Linked DNA regions of Drosophila melanogaster. The protein of the gene in region 1 interacts with the protein of each later gene in a pairwise test. Each region holds a gene or a part of one and is shown on either strand. Other genes may lie near its edges.

What was found. Proteins that work in one complex are often made in the same cells at the same time.
Region 2: the proteins of CG10154 (region 1) and Sik3 interact in a two-hybrid assay, tested with the Drosophila melanogaster proteins (one large-scale study listed by BioGRID).
Region 3: the proteins of CG10154 (region 1) and Nrt interact in a two-hybrid assay, tested with the Drosophila melanogaster proteins (one large-scale study listed by BioGRID).

Annotation. Positions count from the first base shown.
Region 1 is NT_037436.4:13,434,814-13,438,997, forward strand, and holds CG10154 (uncharacterized protein), read right to left. Parts: upstream 2,324-4,184; 5' UTR 2,284-2,323; coding exon 2,283-2,283; intron 2,219-2,282; coding exon 1,979-2,218; intron 1,893-1,978; coding exon 1,408-1,892; intron 1,266-1,407; coding exon 1,041-1,265; 3' UTR 867-1,040; downstream 1-866. Other genes in the region: CG10725 (uncharacterized protein), read left to right, coding at 3,173-3,173, 3,232-3,378, 3,437-3,873, 3,938-4,162.
Region 2 is NT_033778.4:18,686,156-18,691,520, reverse strand, and holds the start of Sik3 (Salt-inducible kinase 3), read right to left. Parts: upstream 3,390-5,365; 5' UTR 2,971-3,389; exon of another isoform or gene 2,873-2,970; intron 1-2,872. Other genes in the region: CG42855 (uncharacterized protein), read right to left, coding at 3,842-4,072; CG44433 (uncharacterized protein), read left to right, coding at 4,905-5,365.
Region 3 is NT_037436.4:16,763,978-16,769,460, reverse strand, and holds the start of Nrt (neurotactin), read right to left. Parts: upstream 3,390-5,483; 5' UTR 2,921-3,389; intron 1-2,920. UniProt on the Drosophila melanogaster protein: May mediate or modulate cell adhesion between embryonic cells during development.

The DNA of each region.
Region 1 (4,184 bases):
TATTGGCACGTTGATGTCACGTTTCTCGCATTTATTGCACACATATTGTTGTTTCTGGCACTGGTTTTTCAAGCTATTTTGTAGTTGCTGCAGCAGAGTCCTTGAACGCTCAACTGACCCGACACGACAAACACACAAATGACACACACACACACACGCAGGCTGGCTTGGCAAATAAATATCCTTTTTGCGAAGAGCTCGTCACACGAAGGACTCATGCGACTCATGCGAACTTTGTATTCACTTTAATTCAATTCGATTCAATTCAAAAAATCAGCCACCGCTGACTCGCGCTCGAATAATTGTATTTTGCCAACCTTGCGGCCCGAGACGCAGGTGGGCGGTGGGTGGTGGGTGGTTGTGAGGTTGTGTGTTGGACGATGGGTGATTCGCCTGCGATTCGAACGGCGCAAGGACTCGCAGCCAACTGAATGTGTGAATGCAGCTGGGCCAGCGTCGCGCTCGTTTTCACTTTCATGAGTTTCGCAGAGCGCTCTTTCACTTCCCACCGCCCCCACGGATGGTTTTCCTCTTTTTCCTTTTTGCCAACAGACAGCGTTTTGTTTTTGCTTTCTGTATATGTGGCCGTGCCACTCGGTGGGCGAGCGGGTGGTTGGCGTTTGCAACCAGAAGAGCATGAATGGGGTGCTCTGTGGAGCACTCTTTCTCTCTTTTTTGGAAAATAAACACTGTGGCTGCACAGCACATGCGCCGTTTACAAAACACCATTGTGAACGGGCCATCCAATTCAAATTGTAACGTTTTGTAGCAAACATTTTATTGGTAAATTAATTGAATTTATTTTTTTCCATTTCTTACTAGTGGAACTTTCTTGGGATGATAAGAGAGTCTTACACCAAATGATTGGTCCCTTTAATAAATCTTTAAAATAACGACACTAAAAATGTTATGTGCTCTTTTAAAAAACATTTCAGAATAAACAATTTGTATCACTTCTTACATTCACAAAATCTCTTATCATTTCATAAAATCGAAAATCAAAAGCAACAGGTTGTAATTATTTATTTATGAAAACTCAGTTAGACACCAACGAATTCAGGTCTGCGGCAATCCTCCACTTTGGGATCGTAGTAAAGACCCGGAGTGCAGTCTAGTGTGACTCCACGTCCTTCGACGCAGTAATAATATGCATCTCGGCGAGATTTGTGTGGGAAGAAGTGAGTTCCCATAAGGGGACACTTAATGTCAGCACGACGCAGAGGGGTTCGGGAATATGGCAGAATATTCCTGGCTACAGCATCAATCTAGAGATATTTAGGTATAAATAAATAAATTATTAAATTACTCCAGAAGCAGTATAAAATGTACTTTAAACCAATCCAAAACAATCAATTTAAAAATATATATTTGAAATGAAAAAAATCCACTTTCACTTTTTCTACTCACCGTGCAGTTAACATTCTTGGCAAAGTCGCAGCACTTGCAGCTGGGATTGTAGGCCAAGCCAGGAGCACACTGCTGTTCCCACGGATGACCATTGGAACAGACGTAATACTTGCTGCATGATGCCTTACTACCCAGGTAGATGATGTCCTCTGGCTGGAAGGTGGCGGAACAGTCGTTGGCCACACAGTCCACATACTCGGGGAAGTCACAGCGATCCGTGGCGTTGTTGTACTGGAGTCCATCGTGGCATTGGCGTAGCACGGGTTTGCCGTAATAGCAAAGCACGTACTTGGTACAGGTGTTGTCGTAGCAGAAGCTGCTCAATCGGAACGACTCACAGGTGGGCAGACACTGTACCTCCTCCATGTAGGTGCACACTTGGAGAACAGGATCGTAGCCCAGCTCACACGACTTGTTCGGATCGCAAATATCTGGATTATCCTTTGCCAAATCCAAGCAGCTGCCTACTTCCTTAATAGTATTGTCTTAAATACATGGATAGTTTAATGTATTAAAAATATTTTTCATTTGCTTTAAAAACTTATGTGATGTTTTAGTGTATATAACTCACTTTCACACTCGATATATTTGGAGCAATTTCCAACATAGGGCAAATAAACGCCATCCGCCACATTGCCGCAGACATTTATCTGGGTGTTTTCGTACATATCGTAAATATCCTTATCCTGAACATTTAGGCCCTCACCATCGTCGTCTGGACCGGGAGCTACTACAAGATCTTCATCGGCCCGGTTCCGATGAACCATCAAAATGATGAATAGTAGTAGGAGCCCATTTAATAGCCACTTCACTTGGGAAATTACGATTTATTAGGTAAATGAACTATAGGGAATCCCATCGCATGAGCAACTTACTCCTGGATAGTTTGAACTGTGTGCCACAACTGTTTGCTATCAGGCCAGGAAATATTCATTTTATATCGACTCTCTTTCATCGCCTAATGAGTTTTTGCCAATTTACACTTATCAACCAGGTTATTTCGGCACACGACTCCTCTAGAGGAAAACTACGCCATTATTTCTGCAAACATTTCGACTTTCAATTTGTCACCACCAAACTTGGCGATAATAGTCATAGTCGAAATGTTTTAAATAGACTGGTTCCCAGAACCCGTGGATATCGATGAAAAGTGTTTTAATTTCCTTGCACGTGTGGTTTTTTTTTTTATCACTTTAGTGCACGAGTGGTTTAAACATTCAAAGTATTACTGCGCTAGCGATTAAGATATGAAAAGAAAAATAAATAAAATAAAAAATAATTTTATAGAATAATACATTCTATTTGGATTAACTAGGAGCATTTCCTTCCTGTACAACAAATATACATACATATATCTTGAAGAAAATCTTAAACCTAAACTACAACTTAATAATTTCTAGATCTTCAAAGTAATGGGGCTTCCTATCCAAATATTCCAAACACTTGTAACAATTACATCGGATCTTGAGCGATCCGTGGTTCGATGATCAACTGTGACTCATCAATACACGTGTTTCCTAATGGCTGACAGAGGTGTATGTTCCTGAATATTGGCTCTTGTTCACCGAACTTATCTCCGCCAGACGAATTTGAATGAGGAAGAACAATCCAATTACCACATGGAAACATGCATCCACATCCGATAAGATTGGAAATTTGCACGGAATCAAAACAAATCGCAGATTGAATGGCAAGTGAGTTTGCCTATAAATGGAGGGGTTTTTCGAGGTAAGACGATAGTAACCGCAGGAAACCAACCTTGAATAGTGAGTATGAATTGCAGCTATGGAACCGAAATGATCTAACTTGGTTTATTTTCCAAAGTGATAAGTCGCCTGACCCTTTTGGCACTGGTTGCCCTGCTTGGAAGCTGTAGCGCTGCTGATGGCGATGTCAATGTCTGCTCCAATGTGGTCAACAATCTCTTTGTTCCCCAGGTGGGCAACTGTAGCAAGTACTTCCTGTGCATGAGTAAGTCACCAGCACCTGTGGATATCTAGTTCACCGCATTATCATGTTTCTATCCCAGATGAGATAGCTGTACCCCGTGAATGCCCCACGGACTACTACTTCGATGCGAGGGATCAGGAGTGTGTTCCCCTGATGGAGGTCGAGTGTATTGGATCCTGTAAGAACCGTGGTTTGTCATCGTTCTGTTACGATCGCACGTGCACCAAGTACGTTCTCTGCTTCGACGGCACTCCGGTGATCCGTCAGTGCTCCGATGGACTGCAGTACAACGCCCTGACCGATCGCTGTGACTATCCGCAGTATGTCGACTGCGTGGACAATCTGTGCAGCCGGAATAATAATCCGGATGACATCGTTTTCATACCCAGCAAGGCTCGCTGTGACAAGTACTACATTTGCATGGATGGTCTTCCTCAAGTCCAGAACTGCACAAGTGGCCTGCAGTACAATCCAAGCACTCAGAGCTGCGATTTCCCCTCGAAAGTCAACTGCACGGTGCGTGTTTTTTTTTATCTGAAGTTTTCTGGGAGCCACATAAAAACCTATTCATTTCATTCAGGTGGAGAGCCTTCAACGGAATATCCTGCCCTTTGCCCGAGCTCCGCCACGTCTCGCCGACATTGAGTGTCCATCGGAGGGCGCCCACTTTATTGCCCACCAGAAGCGTCAGGATGCGTACTACTACTGCCTGAATGGACGTGGAGTCACCTTGGACTGCACACCCGGCCTGGTGTTCGATGCCAAGCGCGAGGAGTGCCGTGAACCACACCTCGTGGGCTTCTAGTTACTCGAAATAAAGATCCAAT
Region 2 (5,365 bases), on another chromosome or scaffold:
ATTAGGCAGGAATAGTTTTAAGTTTTCAGTGTAACGTTAAGAAAATGAAGCGCGTTAAGACCACGATAAAAAAAGAAAACAGGGCCCATGTCTGTTTTTTTTTTTTTTGTAAGCTGATCGCGCGAAAGAGACAGCGAGTAATAGGGGCTCACAATGGGTTAATGTACAACATCAAGGTCGTATGAAAACCGGGCACTTGCACAGCCACATTCGCACATAATCGTGAAGCGAAAGGGACGGTGATAGCGGTGGGGAACAGAGAGGGGTAGTCGTCAAAAAGCTCATTGAAATCAATTTAGACCAGAGTGTGTGCGAAGAAGAGGAAGCAGGCGGCGACGACGACGATCAAACATTAACCCAACCAACACTCGCCACACACTCGCATAATCCAAACAAATTGTTTTCCCCCAAAACTTTCTCGTGATATTTCGCGGGTGTGAAAAGAGCCGCGGCAGCTGGACACCTCACCCTCTCGCTTCCTCTCACATCCACCGATTTTCTCACATTTCTGAAAGGTTTTCGCGTACGCTTTCCTATTGTTTATTTGCATTTATCAGTGGAAAGACACAAAACAGTTGTAGAATTTTTGTGGAATTAGCAAGCGAATGGCATACCGCAGACCGAACCACGCGAAGTACGAAGCGGACGGAGTCAAAAGTCAAAACTGAATGAACTTCCAACCTGGAAGATACTTCTCCGGCTAACTGAAGCCGGGGAGGCTGCGACCTCGCTTCCAGCCAGCCACACACACTTCCAGCGCAGAGCGAGAGGGAGCGACTGTAAGAGGGAAACAGAGCACGCAGCACTATGTGGTGGGGATGTAAAAGACGTCACCGGGTCAAAGGTGCTAAAAATCCACTATATATGTATCGCACGGTGTACTCAAAGAGGAGTTACTCTATTCATTATTTTTTTTAAACTATAAATAATTTAAATAATTTATTGAATCATTATTAAAGTCTAGCTTTAATTCGCTGAATGGAAGTTAAAAAGTATTGAATTATACAAAAGACTGATTTGAAGCAAAGTGTGATTTGAACCTATACATATGTAAATCTTTGAACTATCCGATTTTAAACTGCTACAGTAAATATATCCTTAAATAAACATAGAGAACCTTAACATTTAGTAGCATAAAAGTGCCTACTACTTGAAAAAAACGCTTTTAAAACTGCTTTTGAAGCAAGAGTTGGGTATTCAACGTATCTGGCCAATTTTGCTGATAACTAGCAGTTGTTTTGACTCTTTTTTACCAAATCGGAGAGACAAAAATGATTAAAAAAATAAAAACAACAGCAAGCGAAAGGCAAAAAAGAAACGACAAGTAAAATAAATGAGGCAACAAGCCGAAAGCAAAAGAGAGCCGAAAAACCAAAAGCAGCAGCAACAACAACTAGAGAACTTGGACTTACACAGCATCCAAAGCCAGACAGAAAAGCAGACGGAAAGAGAGGGGGCGAGTGGGAGTGGGGGTGGCGAACGGTGGGTAGTGGGCAGAGAAAAAGGGATAGGGCGACGGAGCAAAGCAAATATGCGAGAAGAGAGACAATCGTGGGTTCTCCATCGACTGACAAAGCTAAGAGGGAGAAGGCACTATCAGCAGGGCGCCCATTTGCATGTGTGCGTGAGCGGGGGCGCAGCAACAGCTTGTGTATGTGTTTGGGGGCTTGGGACTCCAAGGAGTCAAGGAATTTTACAGGAAAACTACCGCAACCCGTATGAAAATTACAATTACTGGGGCATACACAAAGAGAAAATGTGATCTGTGCTATGAATTTCAAAATAATTTTTGTAACTCCAAGAAATAGCCAACTAAACTGAAAGAAATACTATTGAACGTTATTTTTACAGATTTTTAAATATATTTTAAAACATTTATAAAAACATTTTTAAGGTTTCTTGGGTTAATTCGCAGTGACATATTTGCTTTAGAGATAAAAAAAATCTCAAAACTCATTTAAAATTCAAAACATAATGAGAACGTACTCTTTGCTTCTCAGTAGTAATTTTAAAAAAACAGTAAAGATTGAGCAAAACGAATTTGGGCTTTTCGCTTTTGCTCAATCCATACAAAAATAGCTATCAATTCATTTTAGGAATGTCCATTTCGACTTTCAGTGTTGTAGTTAATGAAACAAGATTTTATTCAAGATCACTACACTTCTTTTATTCCCGTGCAATTGCATATGTGTGACGACAAAAGAATGAAAAAGAACTTGTCGAGGTCGCACGCACTCACACACACCACACACTGTTTACAGGAGAAAGCACCTGCAATTGATAACGGGTCGCCAAATGGTAAATAGTACAAACAATGCATACGCAAGGTGTCCAATTAGACCACTCAACGGCAATTGGCTTTTCGCTGCCCCTTATTTGCGTTTTACCGGAGTTGCAATGACGTACGCACGCACACACACACATGCGTATAAAAGCGAACGAGTGAGAGAGACAGAGAGCCCCCACCGCAAACATACAACCACACACACACTCGTACACGCTCACACCGTTATGTATGGGAAAACGTCACGACTTCCAAAGTGGAAAATCGTACGCGCATTTTTTTTGTTTTCCTTTTTCCACGGCTCGGAATCGAAGGTAAAACTTGCCGCAGCGCACGTCACATAATTGCCATTCATGAATATGTTTTTAGCTTCCGCATCTCGGTGGCCATTCGAGATGGCCGCGTGGGTCACGAGCTCTTTTATTGCACTCTATGCTGTGAACTGGTGGAAGCGCATATCGTGTCACGCGCTCATCACTGGAAATAGTTGCTCACCACACACACACATGCAACAGCGCTGCTGCTGCTGTGTTGTTGTTATTCCGCTTTTCTTTCAGCCTCCGCAAAAACAACAATAACAACACTCACAAAAGCTGGTCAAATACAAAACACACTTGTAAATTTATTTAATCTTCGCTCCACCGTTTTTTTTTTTCGATTTTTTCATACGCTCTGGTCGCGCTTACACATTACGATTTCTATCTCTCCGCTCTTCTTCATTTTACTTGATTTCCATTTGTCGCTTCCTCCGCTTTTTTTTGTATTTCGCTGGCGAGATTTCTTTTCACGTTGAATTTATACTATATTGCATTTATATTATTGCGCTTATCACTGGCGCTTTGTTGCTGGCTTCTTGCCTTTCGCTTACATATTATATTCACTTGGTTGGTGTGTGTGTGTTTGCACTGAACAATCGGATGCGGATTCGAAATCGCGTGGGCGCAGCGTGCGACGCGTAATTTTGCATTTAACATTTAACATGAACACACATAAATAATCGCCCTCGGCTGTTCTATTGGAATTTTTTTCTGTTATTCGTGCCGTCTACGGCGATTCTGATTGGACAACACCACCTGCTCGCGAAGCAAAAACTCGGCACCGACTCAGTGTGGCCGTGTAGCGAAGCAGACAAAATGACGAAATCGATGACGACTGCGAGACAACTCTGTGGAAGAAAGCGGATATTAGCCAACACTAAATGCAGATTTAAATTCGTTACATATTTACCAATACAATGTACATTCGATTAAAACACTTAAATCTGTAAATGAAAATTATATGTGTGCTTTAGACTTGTTGAAAATATATAAACAATGTTTAGCCTGGAAGCAAACAAAGAAACAAAACATTAAATTTATAGTAATAAAATAAAAGTTAATAGCTTGTAAGATTTTGAAGTCCTCTCTGCATCAATTTACAAGGCTTAAAGTCTTAACAAAAGGTTGGATTTCTCTGCATACTTTCAGGCGTCCATCAAAGAGTATATGGTAAGAATCAGAGCAATTGCTTTAGTAAAATACTAACCAATGAGTCATTATTTCCCCAACTTTTTGGAGCTTAGAGATAAAGTTGGCGCTTTTGGCTGGAGGATTTTTTGGGCGGCTCCGCGGTTTGGGGTCTCTGGCGTATCACCCTGGTATTCTGGGGCACCTGTCGCACTTTCTGGATCAGGATGGTCTTCGGAATCTCACGAGCCTCGTACCATCCGGGATTTACGGCTTTGACCCACGAACTGGCACAGCACTCGAAGCTGCTCAATAGTTTTGCCACACCGCCAAAGGAGACCATTTTTCTTGAGAAATAAAACTTAAAAAATCTATGGAAAATATAGAACAATCTGAAAACTGGATTATGTTCACTTGAAACTTGTAAATGAAATGAGTTTATTTGATTGTCTGTTCATGAAAGTCCTTTTCGACGCTTGCTTTTGTAACGGAAATTTCTACTTCCTGCGCAGCTTGGAATACGCACGAAACCAAGTGGCATCTTGGAAGGACCCCGTCCATGAATGAATGCCTTCCAGCTGGCCGTTGATTCAACTTTCCACCAGCAGCCACCTGAATGAAAATGGAGCCGGGAATTTCACTACACCACTAAAACGGAAATTGCGTAGGTGGAGAGAGAGAGAGAGTAAGAATGAGCGAGAGGACCAAATGAGTTACGCACCAGGAGTCGCGTGACGTCATTTCAAAGTTTGTGCACCACTGCGAGAAACTAAGGAATATATATAAGACAGAATTTAAACGATTTAAATTAATTTGAAAACCATATTTTGAAAATACATTTAAGATTGAAAGTTTTATATTACTTGAATGGACAAATAAATTTTTTTTTTTTTTTTGATAAAAATATGTTGTTTATCACAAGAATGAACAAAATATTGCAGTTCTATAGCCTTATAAACAAACATTTCATAGCAGGCCGTTTACCAATTGTCAGGGTTTTTCCAATAACAGATATGGCACCAAAAGTGCATCCAAAATTTTCAATGAACCCACAAGCCCCAATTAAACCAGAAAAAAAAACTATTCAACGGCAAAGCAAGCCAGCAGAAACTTTCAGAGTCAGCAGTTGAAGAACAAAACCTCAAGCGAATCAATAAGAATCCATTAAATCCAGCATGGTTCGGAGAAGGGTACTGACTAATTCGGCCAAGCAGGCTTCGATGAATGCCTATCAGCAGCTGTGGCAGCAGCAGCAATTCGCCCGAGCTCCATTAGTTGCCGCTATGCCAGAATATTGGCATTCCGTGTGCAACAAATTTGGTGGCGCCATGCCGCGAATGGCGGTTTTAGCTCCGCCGGAAGTCAGTAGCCGGAAATTGAGTCGTTTGCGAGGGCAGCTAATGAAATCCCAGCGAAAAAGCGCTTCGATTCAGAGCTTCATACCAAACTACGGACTGCAGCAGCATCCTCAAATGCAATTTCAAAGGGGCTATCAAAACGCCAGCAATGGATCCTATCCAAGTCGAAGTGTTTCTAAGGCAGCTCTGCTGACACCCGGTTGCATCTTAGCTGCTTGTCAAAATCAAGGCTACGGTGGTGTTCCAGCAGTGGGAGTTGCATCCGCGTCGCAGCAGCA
Region 3 (5,483 bases), 3.3 Mb from region 1:
GACGCCATGCTAATGGACTTCTGGTGGGGATTGGGTCTCCTCCTCCTCCTTCTCCTGCTTTATAACATGGCCTCTGGTCATTTTAAAATTAACTTTAAATATTCTGATCTAACGATTTATCATGCCGTGTTGTGGATTTTTGTTCAAGTTGCTTAATTTCATGGCAATTTATTGAAGTTGGCCAAGTGGGAGAATGGAAAATGATGAGCCACATATTCGCCAGGCAATCAAAAGAAGGGTGATTAATGATCAAAGCTGACACGTGTTCAAAGAACAATGCGGAAGGGGTCGGAAAGATGAAGGGGGAGTGAAGTTCACTGGAGCATGAGAAACACTTAGAAAAAATAAAGAAGAAACATAGGTAAGATAGATCGCAAGTTGCAACAAATGTTGAAAACCTTTAAAAATATACAAACTTGTTTGTTAAGAACTACTTGAGGACATACTATAATAATTCATAAGAAATATAAGACTGAATTTATTTCCAGTACAAAAGGGGCAGAAACCAGAAACCGCAAGACTCAAAGGTTTATACACGTGCGATGCGAATTCACAGTCGTCTCCCCTCATTTTATTTTGATGGATAACAATCTCCTGGGGCAGGTAGAGAGCGGAAACTGGTAAAGGGGCACAGAGTCCCACAAACCTCAAAGGATCAGCGGAAGGCGCCTAGTTCCAGGACAAGGGGATTGGCACAACAAAAATGGAATAAATGGAGTTTGGAGTGGGAAGAGCAAACAAAATCGGAACGAGATTTCCACTTCAAACAGGCCATTTTTATGAATTTGTAATTACTCTCGAGGGGCAAACAACTCTTGAAGATATGGGATAGGATAGCCCTGAGTTGCGTTGGTTGGTTCAATGTTTGTGCATACCGCGTACTCTTGGATTTGATGAGGTAGACACATCTTATATCTTATATTCAAGAATATTTGTTGGAGAATGTTATAACATTAACTGAGTGCATTGAACCACGAAGTTCCTGGTGCATTTAACCAATATTATGTATGCAATTAGTTGTTTCTTAAATGGAAGTACTGGGTATCTGTTAAGTCTGCATACACTGCCTTCCTCACAACTCATGGCTGTCCTTCCACTATATCATTCCATTTTATTGCACAATATTTTCTAGCACCACGTTGCCTTTTTCAGGCAGATAAGCGAAGATTTCCTCCGCGATAAGAACCCTGAGAATTCCTTGAAGCCAGGCTCCTTGCAGGGCCATTGGAATTGTCAACAACAAATATTTATGATTTGCGCTGGGGTTTCTTGTAACCCTCATTAGTCAATTGTCAGCAGCTCTTGAGGGGATTCGAGTTTTGGGATCGTATCGCAGCACTTGACTCTCAAGTTCTTATTGCTGATGGATTTACAATTTCCTAAATGAAAACTCCATTTTTGTTTAAACTGTTTGACCATGAACTCCAGATGTAAATAGCCGAGTTTTGTTTATCATTGAGAGCGAGAAAAAGTGTTGAAAATCGTGCTTTGTATTCTTGTTGCATTTGCCTTGTTGTGTTTTTCCTTAATTGTTGTTTACTTTTCGAGTGGAAAGCAGGCAACACTTACATAGGAACAACAATTTAAAATTGAATTGTAAAGACGAAAACTTTTGATTACACACATTTTGGGGTAAATTGGGAAAATGAGATACTGAGGCACACACATCAACATCATCATGTCGGCTCTTGTCTTTTGAAAACTTGGCAAAACAATGAGGGAAGTTGGAGCGAAAAGTCAATGGGCGGGGGAGTTGCCTCCATAAATCTCTTTCCGAATGCAAATGTTGCGTCAGCGTGGCATCTTCACGTTTTCCTACCCCATTTGTTGTGCCTCTGTTTGGCTTTGTTGATGCTTTTCTCACTTTTTAGTTGCTCGATTCCCCGGAAGTCTTTTTTTCTTTTTCTGGAGCGAATCGAAGAGCAGCAGCTGCCAACTCGAACTTTCTCTGAAGATCCCGGGAATTCGTGATCATTTCCATGCGCCTATTAATTCATCATTGAATTATTGCCCTTTTTCCCGGTATCCGTATCCCTTCAACAATTTCCTTTGCATTTGTTTACGGAATGACTATTTGGGGATTTATTCAAGCCGGCGTCTGACTGTGCATACAAATGATACCAAAGGGGTCGCGCTATTTTTGGGGCAACTCCATCCACCAAACTCTGGATGTTGATGGATTGAAATATCTGAGGATTAACACACATTATGTTTATGAAATGTTCAAAAGGATTTGTCAGGGCCGTGATTTATGTCAAATGGTTATGTTTTTCATACGGAGCCGCGACACAAGCCATTAGAAAGGATGGAAAATGGGAATTATTGAGGGAAAGAGTCCGTCTGATCATTGACACGAGCCATTAGACCTCAAGACGCGTAAGATGATGATGACGATGGGGTGGGTGTGCTTCGTTACGGAGGGATTATATCAATGAATCGTGAAGCCCCATTAATCTTATTAAGAGCTCGGAATGAAATGTTTTTCGAGACGCCATTTAAATTGTTTTGGTAAGATGTTTCCTCGGTAATTATGGATTGTGGAGGATTATAAATTAATTTAGAGCCGTCAAGATCGGATACCGACATATTTTAAAAGTTTTCAAATTAAGCTCTTATATCTTTTATCTTCTACTTTTCACAAATAACTCAGATTTCAATTGCTACGGCATTAGCGTTTTTCAATAAACTTTTTGGCCAAAATCTTTACATTTGTATAAAACTAAATAAATATGCATGTAAATTGTTTTATTCAATTATAATCACATTTTAATCTTTCAAGTTTGAAGTGTCCATATTCACTTGTTAAATTATTAAAGTTGGCAGACAAATTTGACTTCATTTACAATTCATCGATTTGTTTTCAACTGCTCTTCCTCTTCTACAAATCCCCGAGGTCCTTCACACGAATTTGTAATCTTACCTTTTTCAATTCTCGCAAACACTGTGTAAAATGTGTGTTGCTTTTTTCGAACTTGTTGAAATGTGGCAATTGGGAATAATCCGTTGGTCCTTGAAAACAGCGGGTGGCGTAAATGAACCCGATGTCCTTCCTGCAGGACACTTAGGTGTGTATAACAAACGCACAGATTTTTTGATTTGTTGCGGTTTTTTCTTTTCTCCGCTCCTTCGGCACAGAGCAAAACAAAATGCACAAAAGTAGTTGCGGTGTTTTTGTTAGATTTGTGTAAATATATTTCTTGCACTTAATACAACATACGATGCACAATAGGAATATAAAAAGTTATTCCTTGTTTGCGCCGAATTTGATTTTGTTTTCTTTTGGTCGCGTCTGTGCGGCGAGAGTGTGTGTGTGTGTGCGATGCGAAAGCGAGCACAACCGGAGCGAGGGAAAACGCGTGCGGCTTCCAAAACAGAACAAAACTGACTGACGCCGTTTCGATGTCATGCAATTCATGCGGCTTCGAAACGGTTAACAGAGTCTTAACAGCAACTGTTAATGTTAATTTTCTTGGATTTGTTTTTATTCGGGGAACTGGAAGTGGAACGTGTTTTCGGCGAGAACATGTTTCTCTCTTGAAAAAAAGAAAAAACATAATTTAAGATATAACTTGTAAGTTTATAATAGTATACAAATTATGTCAAGCAACAGTGATTAGCATTGAAAACACCTACACAACGAATTGTTGTAATATTTTATAAGTAATTTAATTAAACTTATTAGACATGATCATAATTCATGTTTATGATTTAGTTCGAACTGGACCACTGTGCACTGGAACTGGAAGCAGCCGGCATTGTAAATTTATAAATCATAGGGGTGGCTGGAAAGCAGCAGTAAAAGTAGCGGCTTTGTTTTCCTGTACAGTAAGTGCAAAATGTTCGATGGTGATTTTATGAAAAAGGTATTGTAGTTTTGGTAAAGCGTTTATTGTTAGTGAAACAAGACACCTCAGATATTATGATCAGATCAGATACTTTATAGAACATGTAGGAGAACATAGGGTAAAATTGTTATAAATTGTTCAAGTCAACACCCAAAACCCAAAGTAGAGGTATTACGTAGTCTACAGCTCTTTATAAATATAAAACTTAAAGTTATTAAAAATTTCTGAGTTGTACATGCTTCAAATAGAAGTAGATGCCGATCTCCCTATATTTCTTTGTTATTAATTTTTCTTAAAAAGAGAGGGAAGCTGGCAAGGGGAAGGGAAAGAAGTTTGTTGATATGGCACTTTTGTTTGAGTAAAGGTTTTGATTTCGGTTTTTGAAACTCGTTTTCAAATGCTTATCAACTGGCGGCAAGTGTTGAAGCGCAGTTTATGCCGATGGGAACATCTGGCATATGTAGGGAAATTCCACGTCCTGATGCGTCATTACAGCACAAACCCTTACCCTTGGCTACCTCCAACCCAACACCCCTTTTCGCATAGGGTTTCATATCCCTACCCCTGAGAAAATTCACTTATTTGGTAAGAAAGACAAAATATAATGATTCTTTCAATCAACTTTTGCGCAATGAAAACTATAAAGAAGATTTTAATGCATTTATTTTGAGCGATACGCAAATCAACAGAATGATTCATCCACAGTTATGAGAAAAACATACGTTGTTGCAGTTTATTTAATAAAGGGCACTCCCCCAGTATTATACTTTCAATTACTATATAGTATGTGCTCTATTTTATAAAAATGTTACGCTTATGATTTATGAGTAATCAACTAATGTAGGAGATATGTCTTCAGACAATTAGGCTACCCATTTAACTAAAGTGTTTGGTAAATATTTTTCAATATTTCAATATTTTCATTGTATACCTATGTATGTACATAGTTTAATATTTATATTGAACTTGTGTCGGTTGAATTATTAGAACAGAAGCCATGACGACACGTGCTAGAAATGTATTAGAAGTCGATTCCCCTGTTCTTCCAAAGGTATTACCCCACGGAATTCCTACCCACATGTCAACAACTTTCACGCCCCGAACTATGAGGGTTCCCTATTTCATTGTGGAGCTACTGAAGCATTTCATTAGACATGATGTTAGGCGACATCTGCTACCGAAAAAAAGGAATAAATATGGTAGGAAACTAGAAAATAAAAGTGAAGGTTGGCTCGAGTTACATACGTATTTGAGTTTGACGCATGCCCGTCACGTCGAAGGGGAAGGATCAAAATGATCGCATCGGATCATTATCATGATCGCAAATGGTAACGAGGAAACCCGCAAAATGTGGGACGCCCAAGGAAAGGAAGTGGAGTAGTGAACACATGTTCCTGTCTTGTGTGGGTTGTTCTTCGGATGGAATAATTAACAAGTTTAATTTAAATTTGAACCGGAAACGTGTGGAAACCGAAAACGAAGACTTCAAGAAATTCGAGGGAGTTCTGTTCTCTGCACCACTAACCCCACGATATGTAATTCAATCAAGCAATGATTCGGTTTCAATATGCCAAGCAAAACCTCGAAAAGCCGCTTAATGTTTGAGCTCAATTATATGGCTTTTTGTTTTTGGGGGTG